2 linked regions of the Drosophila melanogaster genome follow. The protein of the gene in region 1 interacts with the protein of each later gene in a pairwise test. Each region holds a gene or a part of one and is shown in the gene's direction. Other genes may lie near its edges. The genes, in order: CG13775 and CG10431.

Region 1 (5,138 bases):
CTGGCGACGCTTTGCTTCGAACTCCGTAGCCAGCTGCCATGTTTCTTTGTCCAACGTATCCTTCCCCCGGGCGATGCCCAGCAGCCGTGAGAGGACCAGCAATCCATGCAGATCATCGGCATTACTTTTGACATTAGCTTTACGCATGTCCACGAAATCCTGCTGGATCATTTCAGTGTGCTCCTCGCTCACGTTGAAGCCGCTAGTGCGCGCTGTGGTCAAGTACTTGCGAAACTGCTGCAGACGTGATGGCTGCAGATAGTGGTGGGCTGCCTTTAGAGATTCATCAACAAGTTCCACGGCCTTAGAATCGGCATTAATGGGCAGCACAAAATCGCTCTGAAAACATATCATTAATAGTTTCTATTGGATATAATGATTATTTATATAAACTTATATTCTTACCGGCAACATACTTCGCCCTTCACTGAGCACGAGAACTGGAATATTTGCTTGGTAGTCTATTTGGTAATACTGAAAGTCGCACTTCAGTTCCTGATTATTGATCAAGTGCGCTAAATGCTGAACGGCATGAACACCATTGGCCTCCAGCTTGCCCTGTTGCATGCACGTCTCGTCGAGCACCAAATGCGTATGGGGAGCCAACTGTAGTACGCCGGAAACCAGCTTGTTTGTCTCATAATCCTTCCTGCAAGTACTCATTAATAGGTATTCAATTTTATACTATTTCTGCTTAGCCAACTTACTTTGGGGCAAAGGCTGCCGTGTTTAGTGTGACGAGAGTCATGGGCATGTAATGGCTGGCCGGCAGTAGCAGCTCCAGAATTTGATACAACTTGGTTGCATACGCCTCACAATTCTTAGGGAGATTACAAAGGTTAAGGGCGAACTTGCCGATGCTCTGCATCTCAGAACGACTGTAGACCGTAGATATTAGGTGGGAGAGCAAATACTCGGCAGCCAGATCGTCATCAAAGAGGCAGAGTTTAAGAAGCATGCGCAGATCTTTGTGCACAGCAAGGTGGGTTGGATACGTCTCCTCACATATTTCCGTTGGCTGTCGAAGGCTTTTGTCCAGCAGCGGATTGGCATGCGGCAGCACCTGGACTCCGAAGGCATGCAGGCGGGGTATAAGAAATGGCGATGGATGAGCTGCCTGCAGTTCACTCAAGTTTTCACAATCGTCTATTTCCAGGGTAGCGGCGTCTAGTGAAGCATCCACTGACAGAAAGCCCACAAAGTCGACCAGCGAGTTAAGCTGGTAGGTATCGAACTCCTCGTAAACCTTTACCATGCATGCCATGCTGGGACGATCCGGCAGAGGCGAGTTAATCAGGTAATCAGACCCAAGAACAGAGGATTTGGAGGCGCCGACTGGCTCGCTATCTTTTTGAATCTCTTTTAGGCAGGGTCGCTTGAACGTTGTTTCGCTCGCAACGTCCACATCCATGGCTTCTTCTTCGCCTACAATAGTCCGCTTCTTGGCTGAACTGGGAGATTGACCCAGACTGGCCAAATCGATCTGGGGACAGCACAGCTTCTCATGCTCCTTGCTCCAATCGTTCAGACCAGGCACAGAGACCACGAACATGGTACGCCTCTCTCCATGCACGTTTCCATCGGCGTTGTAGTCAATCACTTCGCCATTGGCTATTTTCAAGCAGTCCCTGTACTTTCCTTCCTGTACACGTTTGCTGCCGTCGGCGGATTTCACTTCGTAGCGCTCCAGATAGATTTCTGGGTCCATCATGTCCTGGATCATTCCACGAAAGCGCACCAGAGTCTGATCCTTCAGCTTGTGAAGAGGCGTGTAGTTGAGCAGGGGAATCGAGTGCCAACGACTGGGATCCTTGAGCAAGTCCTTGAGTGCAGCGCTGTCCGCTTGCTGGGCGGCCAGTTCATCGGGCGTGCTGGGCAGCTCCATCGCACAGGGCATTATCTAGTTAACGAATGAATTTGCAAATGCCTCAAAAACCTCGAATGCAAAAAACAACAGCTGCTTTGGCGCGCCAAAAACTGATTGCAGCATATTAGTGATGGTCATCGATGGGCCTATCGATATCTGCCAGGGATGTCGAACTCTGCCGCAGAACGGATGTAGAGGCGGATGTGGACATCCGCAAAAAATGTACAATTTGAGAATTACCAAAGAATTGCAGCGATGAGCAAGAAGAAAAGCAATGTGTGGCAGTACTTCTACAAGACATCCGGCACAGTGGCCACCTGTCTGCTGTGCAACAGGAACTACTCGAGGCGAGGACGCGGCACAACATGTCTGCGGAATCATCTGAAGAGCAAGCACCCACCGGAGTTCCTATCTCTATCCGGGGACATAAAGTACCTGGACCTGGTTAAGAGCGAGATCTCCATCGGTTCGCCACAGCACCCCACAGCCCAGCTAGAATTGAATCTGCACGTAAGTGGGATAGCATATAGATGTGCATACATACCTATGTACATGCATATGTACTGTGCAAGAAGTGTACCTTATGTGAAATCGGGGTACATGCCCTTCTAGATATTCTGTCATGTGGAGATGGTTTCCCCAAACTTAAGTTTCCATTCAAATATAGTTTCTTTGGTAGTTCATAAAGTAATTTATGCCTTCTCTTATTTAAAACTTTTTACTAATATAGCAACAGCGGATGCGGATTTTTATCCGCGTTTGGCTAGATCGGCAAACATGTGTTGTGTTTATAAAGTGTAGTTAAGGAGGTTTTAAAAATGTACTGTTATGGTCTTAGTATTATATTTTTATAAATTATGCGTTTTTCACTAATCTGATGCATTAAATTATTCTATTAATCATTTTAGGAAACAGATTCAGATCCATTGGACACCGAGGATATATCCTACAGCAAACGCTGTGATGAGAAGTTGGCCCTCATGCTACTAAATCACTCCTTTGAGTTCATTGAAGGACCAGGATTCGTAAATTTCATTAGGACGCTGCAGCCGCGGTACACGATTCAACCAAGGAGCTACTATGAGAAGATACTGTGCGAGGATATACAAAGGAAAATGCATCAGCATTTGAAGCAACAGGTGGATCTGCTGGATGCCATATCGTTGTCTACGAGTCTCTGGCGTGGTGACAAAGGCGAAGGACTGCTGAGCTTGTCCTGCTCCGGAATATCAAGGGATTTTCAGACTCACCGCCTAATGCTGAAATGCGAGGCTCTGAATTACGAAAGCACTTCGAAGCTAGCTTGTTGCATTCGAGATCTTGTGCCCAGCTTGGCCATTGAGGTGCCCAAAGAGAAGATACACTGCGTAATCAGGGACGAGATGACGGCGCTGCCAGGTTCCCTGCCCGATTGCAGTGTGCACCGCCTGCAGATGTGCGTTCGATTTGCTTTGCAATCGAACGAATTACTGCAGAACCTTTCATCCAAGTGCAAGCAAATAGTTGACCATTTTGCGTCGTCTAAGATGGCCAACGATCATCTGAAATTCATTCAAGAGATCCGCTTGACGCGAGACCCGTGCACACTTACACCTTACGATCCCTGTCAATGGAATTCCGCTTTTCAGATGATGAGCAGCGTGTTTCGAATGAAAGATGCTCTATCCTTGTACTGCGAAGAGTATAGTCTGGTCCAAATATATCCAGATGAATGGATAGAGATCGATTTGTGCAGCAAAGTAATGCAGCCTTGTGAAGAAACAATCAAGATATGGAGCAATCCATCTACGACCACCTCATCCGTAATCCCGCTGGTTGCCGCTTTACGGGATTCCCTCCGAACAGATGTCCATAACTTTGTCTCATCTGTGGTAAGTTGCAGTAGATAAAACCATAAAGTATTGTCTAATATTTCGAATGTCTAGACTATATGCAGTTTCGCCAGAAAGTTGCTTGAAGAACTGGAAATGAAGTTCGCCCACATCACTAGCGACATCAACTTTTTGATGGCCACATATTTGGATCCGAGATATAAGCAAGCATTTTTCACCGAACGTGAGGAGCAGTTGGTGGCCAATGAAGTTCTGCTTCAGCTCGCTGGAGTGCCAGAGGATTGCAATGGTCAGCCACCGCTGAAAATAATCAAAGTGTCATCCACATCGTCCCAGAAGAATGAATCAAAGATCGATAGCATTCTGGATAGCATACTGACAACTGGAACGACGAACACTCAACAGCCAAATACGTCAATGGGCTCCCAGTCTCAGATTAAGAATCTGCTATATCTATACAACTCCGAACCCAGAATCGATAGGAACATGGATCCCCTGATTTGGTGGAGGAGCAACATAAAATACATATCCTTGTATGGCATTGTTAGGAAATTCTTATCAGCACCAGCAGCAAGTGTGGTTAGTGAAGGCTTATTTAGAAAATCAACGCACTTGTATTTCGACATGCAGGCGGGCTTGAGCCCCGAAAGTGCATCCAAAATGTTGCTCATGAAGGCCAACTTTAGCTTTAGCAATTCGGAAATCAATTAGGATACAGTAATTTATATAATTTAAACGTATTTATGTACATAATATTAGCTTTAATCTTACAACTACTTGATTTTCCGGAAAATTAGATTTTGCACTTAAGCCGCGTGTATGGCTGATTGCCTGATGGGTCCTAGCCCCTGTAATCAGGATCATTGTGTTCCTCTTCGTCTTCCTCCTCCTCCTCTTCTTCATCTAAATTAAAAACATGTTTTTCATAATGTTGATTCTAAATAAAATGAAAGCTATGAAATTCTTACCATGATCTCGACGTTTACGTGTGTAGGCTCGTTTGCTGGCGACGGGCGCTTGATCAGTTTCGCCATGTAGCAAGGAATTGCGATATAATATCAGCGGCTGCCATTCCTCAGCTCGGCTGGATGGCATTGCGGGTGGTATTATCTTGTCCAGAAAGCTCATTATGACCTTCTTGTCTTGCTTCAGTAGCTTGTAGTTGAACTCGTTCAAAACCTCCAGGAAGAGCAAGCGAGTTGGAGCCCGCACCGGATCATCTGGCTCCTTGTTCGCAGCGAAATAAATGCCACCACGATGAATGGCGGCCACAGATTCGCGATTCTTGATGGCATCGAAACCAAATGTGAGCGCAAATCGCTTGGCCAACTCCTTGAGGTCCACAAACTCTTGCGAACTCTTTGAAACTATGCCATCCTCACTCTGCTCCTGCAGACTCTTAAAGACTGTGATCAGGCTCAAAAGGAGCGTCATAGCGA
Region 2 (6,198 bases), about 12 Mb from region 1:
TACGAAGCCCGGATAGCGCAGGGCGTCGAAAAGCTCGAAAAGATTAATGTCACCCCAGCTGGAAGAAGTGAAGTGTCAGACAAGTTTAAATATGAGCTCTAAGAAGACTTACGTGTAACCTTCGCGTTTCAGAGCCAGAACGGCATTTGGTCCCAGCCAGATAGATCCGTCCATTCGCGGCGTAAAGTGAACTCCCAGGAAGGGGAAACGTGGATCCGGCACCGGATAAATATTACCCTTGACCATATGCTGTTTTTCCTTGGTCAGCAGCAGATACTCTCCACGGAAAGGCACGATGCGGGGGTCTCTGGGGCATCCAGTCTTCTCAGCCAGCAGGTCGGATTGCAAACCGCCACAGGTTAATACGTTCTTGGTACGAACCGTTTGACCGGGCTTAGCGCCATGGATGGTCACTGGGTAGTCGGTGCCCTCCTTGGTCTCGGTAAACTTGCTGACATTGAAGTCCAGGTAGATATCACCACCGCACTGTTTGAAATCCTGACCATAATGCTCGGTAACCAATCCCCAGTCAACGATACCAGTGTGCGGACTGTGGAGCGCCATCACTCCCTGGCAGTAGGGTTCGATCTCCTGAATCTCGCTGCCTTCGATCATTCGCAGATCCGGTACGTTGTTGGCAATGCCACGCTTCTCCAAATCCTTCAGCAGCTTCACTTCTTTCTCATCCGTGGCCACAATTAGCTTCCCGGTTTTCTTGTACGGGATCTTTTTTTCATCCAGATAAGCGTAGGCCAAATGCATGCCCTCCACGCAAAGGCGGGCTTTCAGGGTTCCAGGCTTATAGTAGATGCCAGCATGGATGACGCCGGAGTTGTGGCCGCTCTGGTGCTTTGCCAGCTTGCACTCCTTCTCCAGGACAGCCACTTTGAGGGATGGATGGCGCAGGACAATCTCCCGGGCAGATGCGGCGCCGACGATGCCACCACCAACGACAACCAGATCATAATCTCTGAGGGAATACAAAACATATCAGCTAACAGCCTCAAAAATTAAATAAACTTAAGACTTCTAAAGTTTTTAAAAGTTAGAAAGATGTTTGTATATCCGTTAGAGTAAAGAGTGTGCGGGCACGTTTTTGATTAGGATCATCAGTCAAGTCGATCTAGCCATATCAATATGTTCATCGACTGTCAGACCGCAAGAACGTCGAGATCTTGGGAACTAATAAGTAAGATAAAGGCTGCAGATTGCAGTGAAAAGACTATGCTATGCAATTAAGAATACAAAAGTAAATAGAATATACATTGCTTAACTAAACATGATTTTAAAAGCGCATTCTAAATGAAAAGAAGCTTACTTAGCTCATTTGGAACACCTAAATGATATTCTGCAAACAGTGAAAAGATTCTTAGGATCGGAACACCCCCGAAAATGAGAGAACCCTATCGTAATCTCAAGAGACTTACCCGCAGCTCGACGAGCTGTGCTGCGATCTTTTGTGGGTCGCTGTGGATTCGTTGGGCGCGGCCACGCCCACATTGAGTAGGCTACGCCGAAGTCCCTGTACCAGCAGTCGCACCTGAGCCATTTCTCTTTCTTTTATGCTTTCACCACCCGCGCACGCACGTAGAATTTAGATTATTTACCAACCCGAAAAGAAAGACCTTGCTTGACCTTGCCTTCTCCTCCGCCAACTTGTGCGTACAGCGCGCTTTCGAGCGAATCGACAGACTGAAGCCCGTGGAAGTTTTCCGTGGGGCGAGAGAAAATAAATATGCTCACGGGCCGAGCATCTGGGCGATTTGTGGGGCCGAGGGGCGATCATAAACGCGCTAATTGATAAGTGTGACGGATTATTTTTGAAAGGGGGTGGTTGGGTAAGGACGTGTGTGTCAGCTGTTCGGTTTGTTGATAAGATTTAATGTGCCCAGCTGCCATTTTGCAAATTTTCTGTAATCTAACAATATTAAAATTTTTATTTCATTTTAAATATTTCAGGTTATACGATCATGCTGATTACTCGACTAAAAAGTATTTACAAGAAACAAACATATAATTTTAACCCTAAATTTGCTTTTATTCGATACGGAATCCCATTATATTTGGTCGTATTTGATAGCAAACACAAATGAATAAAGTTTCGTTATTAATTCAGAACTGCAAGAAAAAAGACCGCTATCAACAATATGTGAGACGCATTTTCCAACACTGAACACTTCAGAAGCAAAACAAAACCAGCTGATTTAGCAAACAACAGCTAGCTCACAGATGTAAACAACAGAAATTTGCAAATTATTACAAATTATTGTACCATAAATACCTTAAGATGCCCGCCCACTGCGCCGTGATAAATTGCAGCCATAAGTATGTGCACGCGGGCAGCATTTCATTTCACAGGTAAGTGAGTTGATTTTCAATTGACAAGATTACACTATAGCTTCTATTCTCCCAAAGATTTCCATTCAAACGGAAGGATCTTCTACAGAAATGGAAGGAATTTACCCAGAGGAGTGCTCAGTGGATGCCCTCAAAATGGAGTGCGCTGTGCAGTCGGCACTTTGGTGATGAGGACTTTAATTGCAGCAATAATCGGAAAACGCTTAAGAAAAATGCTGTGCCATCAATTAGGGTTTCGGAAGATGACTCCATGAGTGGGCACTTGGAACAGGTGTCCCCAAGCAATAGGCCAACGCACAAGCAAACTCTTTCTAGTGCCGCCGAATCAGCAGCAACAGGTGTTAAAGCCACTTGCCGCTTTTGTGGTTCCTCGGCCATCAATTGCTCCTCGTTTGACAAGAGTTTTGAGCTCTTTGGCATGATCCAGAAGTGCTTTCCTACGCTACAGATTCTTCAGGACGACACCTTGCCCAAGGAAATATGCCAGGAGTGCTGCCTCCAATTGGAGCGCTTTTCCCAGTTCATCGATGTGGTGATGTTGGCGCAGAGTGAATTGCAAAGAAAATACCGCCGACAACTGAAAATCAAACAGGAACCCTTGGTTCGTGTGAAACAGGAGGCCTGCGAGAGCTTGGACAATCTTTTTCCTGATGAACTGGACATGGGTTTGGAGCAGGACGATGGCTGCGATCAGGAAGAAACTGAACAAAAGTTTCAGTTCTGCGAGTTCCCTATGCTAAATGCCCAAGACATTATCAACAATTGTGATATCATGGAGATAATCAATCTGGACGATCCGTTTATCAATATTCCAGACGATGCGGATGTGGGACAGTCGGAGAGACTACAGCCTGGAAGAACGGCTAATGAAATGCTGCAAAACGAACTCCTAACCGAAGAGCACAATTATGCGAAGGAGGAGTGGCAACTACCCCCGCATCAGTACAAAACGGAAAAGGTGGAGGGAACGGATGCTGCGCCAGACGCAGCTCCTCCGCCTGCTGATCCCCCTCCTCTTCAGGATAATATAGACCCTCCCTCGGCCCCCGAACCGCGCTCATGCAAGCCCATTGTGACCAATGTAAGCCAGATACCTAACCCAATGATCTGCGAGCTGCTGCCACAGCCTGCTCCTCCCACGTCGATCAAACCCAACATCGTGGTACTTAACGATAGTGTGGTCGAATCCTCAGCGGCTTTTCGGCTTCACAACTGCACTTTGTGCACTGCCAAATTTATAACAATAGATAGCTTAAATCAGCATTATGCACACAGTCACAGTAATTCCACTCCCATGGTTAGTGTTCCTCCGATGAATATATGCCTTCCCAGCTTAACCATGAACCCTCCAATGAAAATGGAAAGCAACAGAGGTCTTGTGGCCACTGAACAATCCGAATACTGGCCGTTGGAGTGGCATAATAGTCCTGTATCCAAGCAACCTAGGAAAAAGATTGATATACTAGATATGCAGAGTAGTTTCCTGCATCACAAAGACCTTATACCGACAGCCACTCAACTGTCAGCACCCGCACCTGATCCTCAACTGGTTGCAGTGACTGCTAGCTACGCTAAACTGGCTAACAGGTATCGTAAGTTGCAGCTGAAATGCAAAAAACTGAAGTCACCAAGGAAGGTGCACAGAAAAACCTATGTGTGCCGGATGTGCAGGAAGGGATTTTCAAAGTTTAAGAACTTACACCACCACCGTCGTCAGAAAGCACACTTTGTAAAGTTAATACCCAATTTTTCAGGACGCTGTTCTGGTTGCCTAAAGTTTTTTCGATCCCGCTTGGGTCTTCGCCAGCATATGCGATACATATGTCAATCGTTGTCGCTCAAAAACCATCGGCGCCTTCAGAGCTTCAAGTGTCGCCACTGCCAGGCCATCGCCTTTGCCCACTGGCGCCTGTATCGTCGTCATGAACTCAATTGCAGGCCCAAAAAATCCAAAACTAAGGTGCAGACGGCAATGAATTCGAAAAAGAAAGTTACGCCCACCCAAGTATTTGAGTGTAATATTTGTAAAAAATCATTCGGTTCGCTCAACGGACTACGCCAGCATAACATCACCCACTCGACGGAGCGGCAACACAAGTGCGGCATCTGTGAGCGGGTCTTCAAGCGACGCAACGGATTGTCTCAACACATTAAGGGCTACCACCTGCAGCTCAAGCCGCATGAGTGTCCGGTTTGCCAGCATCGCTACGCCCTGAAATGCGATATGCTGAGGTGCAGGCATTCCCTGCGAAAAGGTCCAGCTGCCGGGGAGTAACAGGAAGCCCTGGAGATGACTCACGATTGGACAAGGAAATGGTATTTACTCAAGCAAATGCTATAATCTTGGAGGTAAAACCAATTTGTTTTCTAAAAAACAATGTGCGATAACACGCCACTACAATTTTCTTTCCACAGATGATCTGAATCTCGATGCACTAAATGCATTAAGCCTAGTCACTCTATGGGGTACTTAGTTGGTGGTCTTCCAGTACGGCACGCAAGGTGATGAAGGGTTCGCAGCGGGAATGAAATTGGCGCTAGTCAAGGTTACTTACAATAAGTAATTTAACCTAATTAAACCGACGCTTCATTGAGCAGGAACGAGGTTTCGCAAATCGGAACAACATTTTTGAAAAGGTTGAAAGGGGGAAAACTAAAGGCGATCTTAAATATTTTGTATTATATACATTTATTTATTTAAATTGCAGTATAAGTTTGTAGTAAACGTTCTCTAAAAGTACGTGTATTTTCTTGTGTATTCGTATTTAACGCATTAGTATTGCTTAAATCGCTAACTTTAAACGTGAAATACTGAATCGAAACTTATTGTTTTACTTTAGGCTGATCCAAGCAAAAAACTAAGATTGACTGCCAACATAGGATTAGTATATACAAAGAAGGTTGAATTTCACAAGTTTATTTGCTTAATATAACTATCAATTTTATTTTTAACAAAACTAAAACGAAGAACATAAAAATGGCACTAAAAGTACAAAATCATAAAGTAAAAAGCATACATTTTGGAGAACCCTCAAGGATAAACGTAATTCAACAATGAAATTTTGCGCAACACCAAACAATAAAGTAGTTCTTAATCTAAAACATTTTAAACTTAACTAAAGGTTAACTATAAATACGCTTTTGGTATGATCGTTATTAATGTACGTATGTATGCATATGTCCCTGGCTAGAGTGGCTCAGTTTGGTTGGTTTTAAAAAAATATATATTAGAAATTGAACGTTATATTTTGTTACTTGATAAGTTGTGATGGGTACTTCAAAGATCCAAAACAAACATTAGTCAAAGATAACATTCAATTCCCAAGATGTTTTTGCCAGCAAATCGAGTTTTTATATGTATGGGGCGATAAGTATGAATATAATTAGAGTATGTGATGCTTGAAAAATGCTTGTACGAAGCGTATCCTCTTCTCCCGGGATTAGTTCCACATTCGATTAACCTACGCCAGATAATTACTCGCTAGACTAAGGGCGAACCTAAGTCCTCTACTGGAAGATCGCTGCCCGCTGCTGGAACTGCTGACGCCGCTGGGCCCGCTCCTCCTCCTCTCGCCGGCGCTCCTCCTGCTCCGCCCGAATCTCGTCGTGGAACTTGTTCGTCCGCAGCTGTTGCTCAATTTTCGCCTCGAAGAAGTTCTTGGCTCCGCTCACTCCCACCTGCTCCACATCGACCTCCGTGAGGCGGGCCAGCTGATTCAGCCCAGAATCGGAGTCCAGTTCCCCGGCCTGGGCCTTCCTGAAGATCAGCAAGAACTCTCGGAATGAAATCTTGCCATCGTTATCCTCGTCCACCTCGGCAATCATCTGCTTGAGTCCCAG

What was found.
Region 2: the proteins of CG13775 (region 1) and CG10431 interact in a two-hybrid assay, tested with the Drosophila melanogaster proteins (one large-scale study listed by BioGRID).

The regions. Positions count from the first base shown.
Region 1 is NT_033779.5:6,953,857-6,958,994, reverse strand, and holds CG13775 (uncharacterized protein), read left to right. Parts: upstream 1-2,044; 5' UTR 2,045-2,122; coding exon 2,123-2,377; intron 2,378-2,651; exon of another isoform or gene 2,652-2,687; intron 2,688-2,775; coding exon 2,776-3,738; intron 3,739-3,792; coding exon 3,793-4,410; 3' UTR 4,411-4,540; coding exon of another isoform or gene 4,541-4,602; 3' UTR 4,603-4,638; downstream 4,639-5,138. Other genes in the region: CG3430 (uncharacterized protein), read right to left, coding at 1-339, 406-649, 708-1,897; SA1 (stromalin 1), read right to left, coding at 4,541-4,602, 4,668-5,138.
Region 2 is NT_033779.5:18,972,490-18,978,687, forward strand, and holds CG10431 (uncharacterized protein), read left to right. Parts: upstream 1-2,220; 5' UTR 2,221-2,287; coding exon 2,288-2,358; intron 2,359-2,415; coding exon 2,416-4,633; 3' UTR 4,634-4,707; intron 4,708-4,773; 3' UTR 4,774-5,698; downstream 5,699-6,198. Other genes in the region: L2HGDH (L-2-hydroxyglutarate dehydrogenase), read right to left, coding at 1-58, 113-970, 1,428-1,549; Swip-1 (Swiprosin-1), read right to left, coding at 5,866-6,198.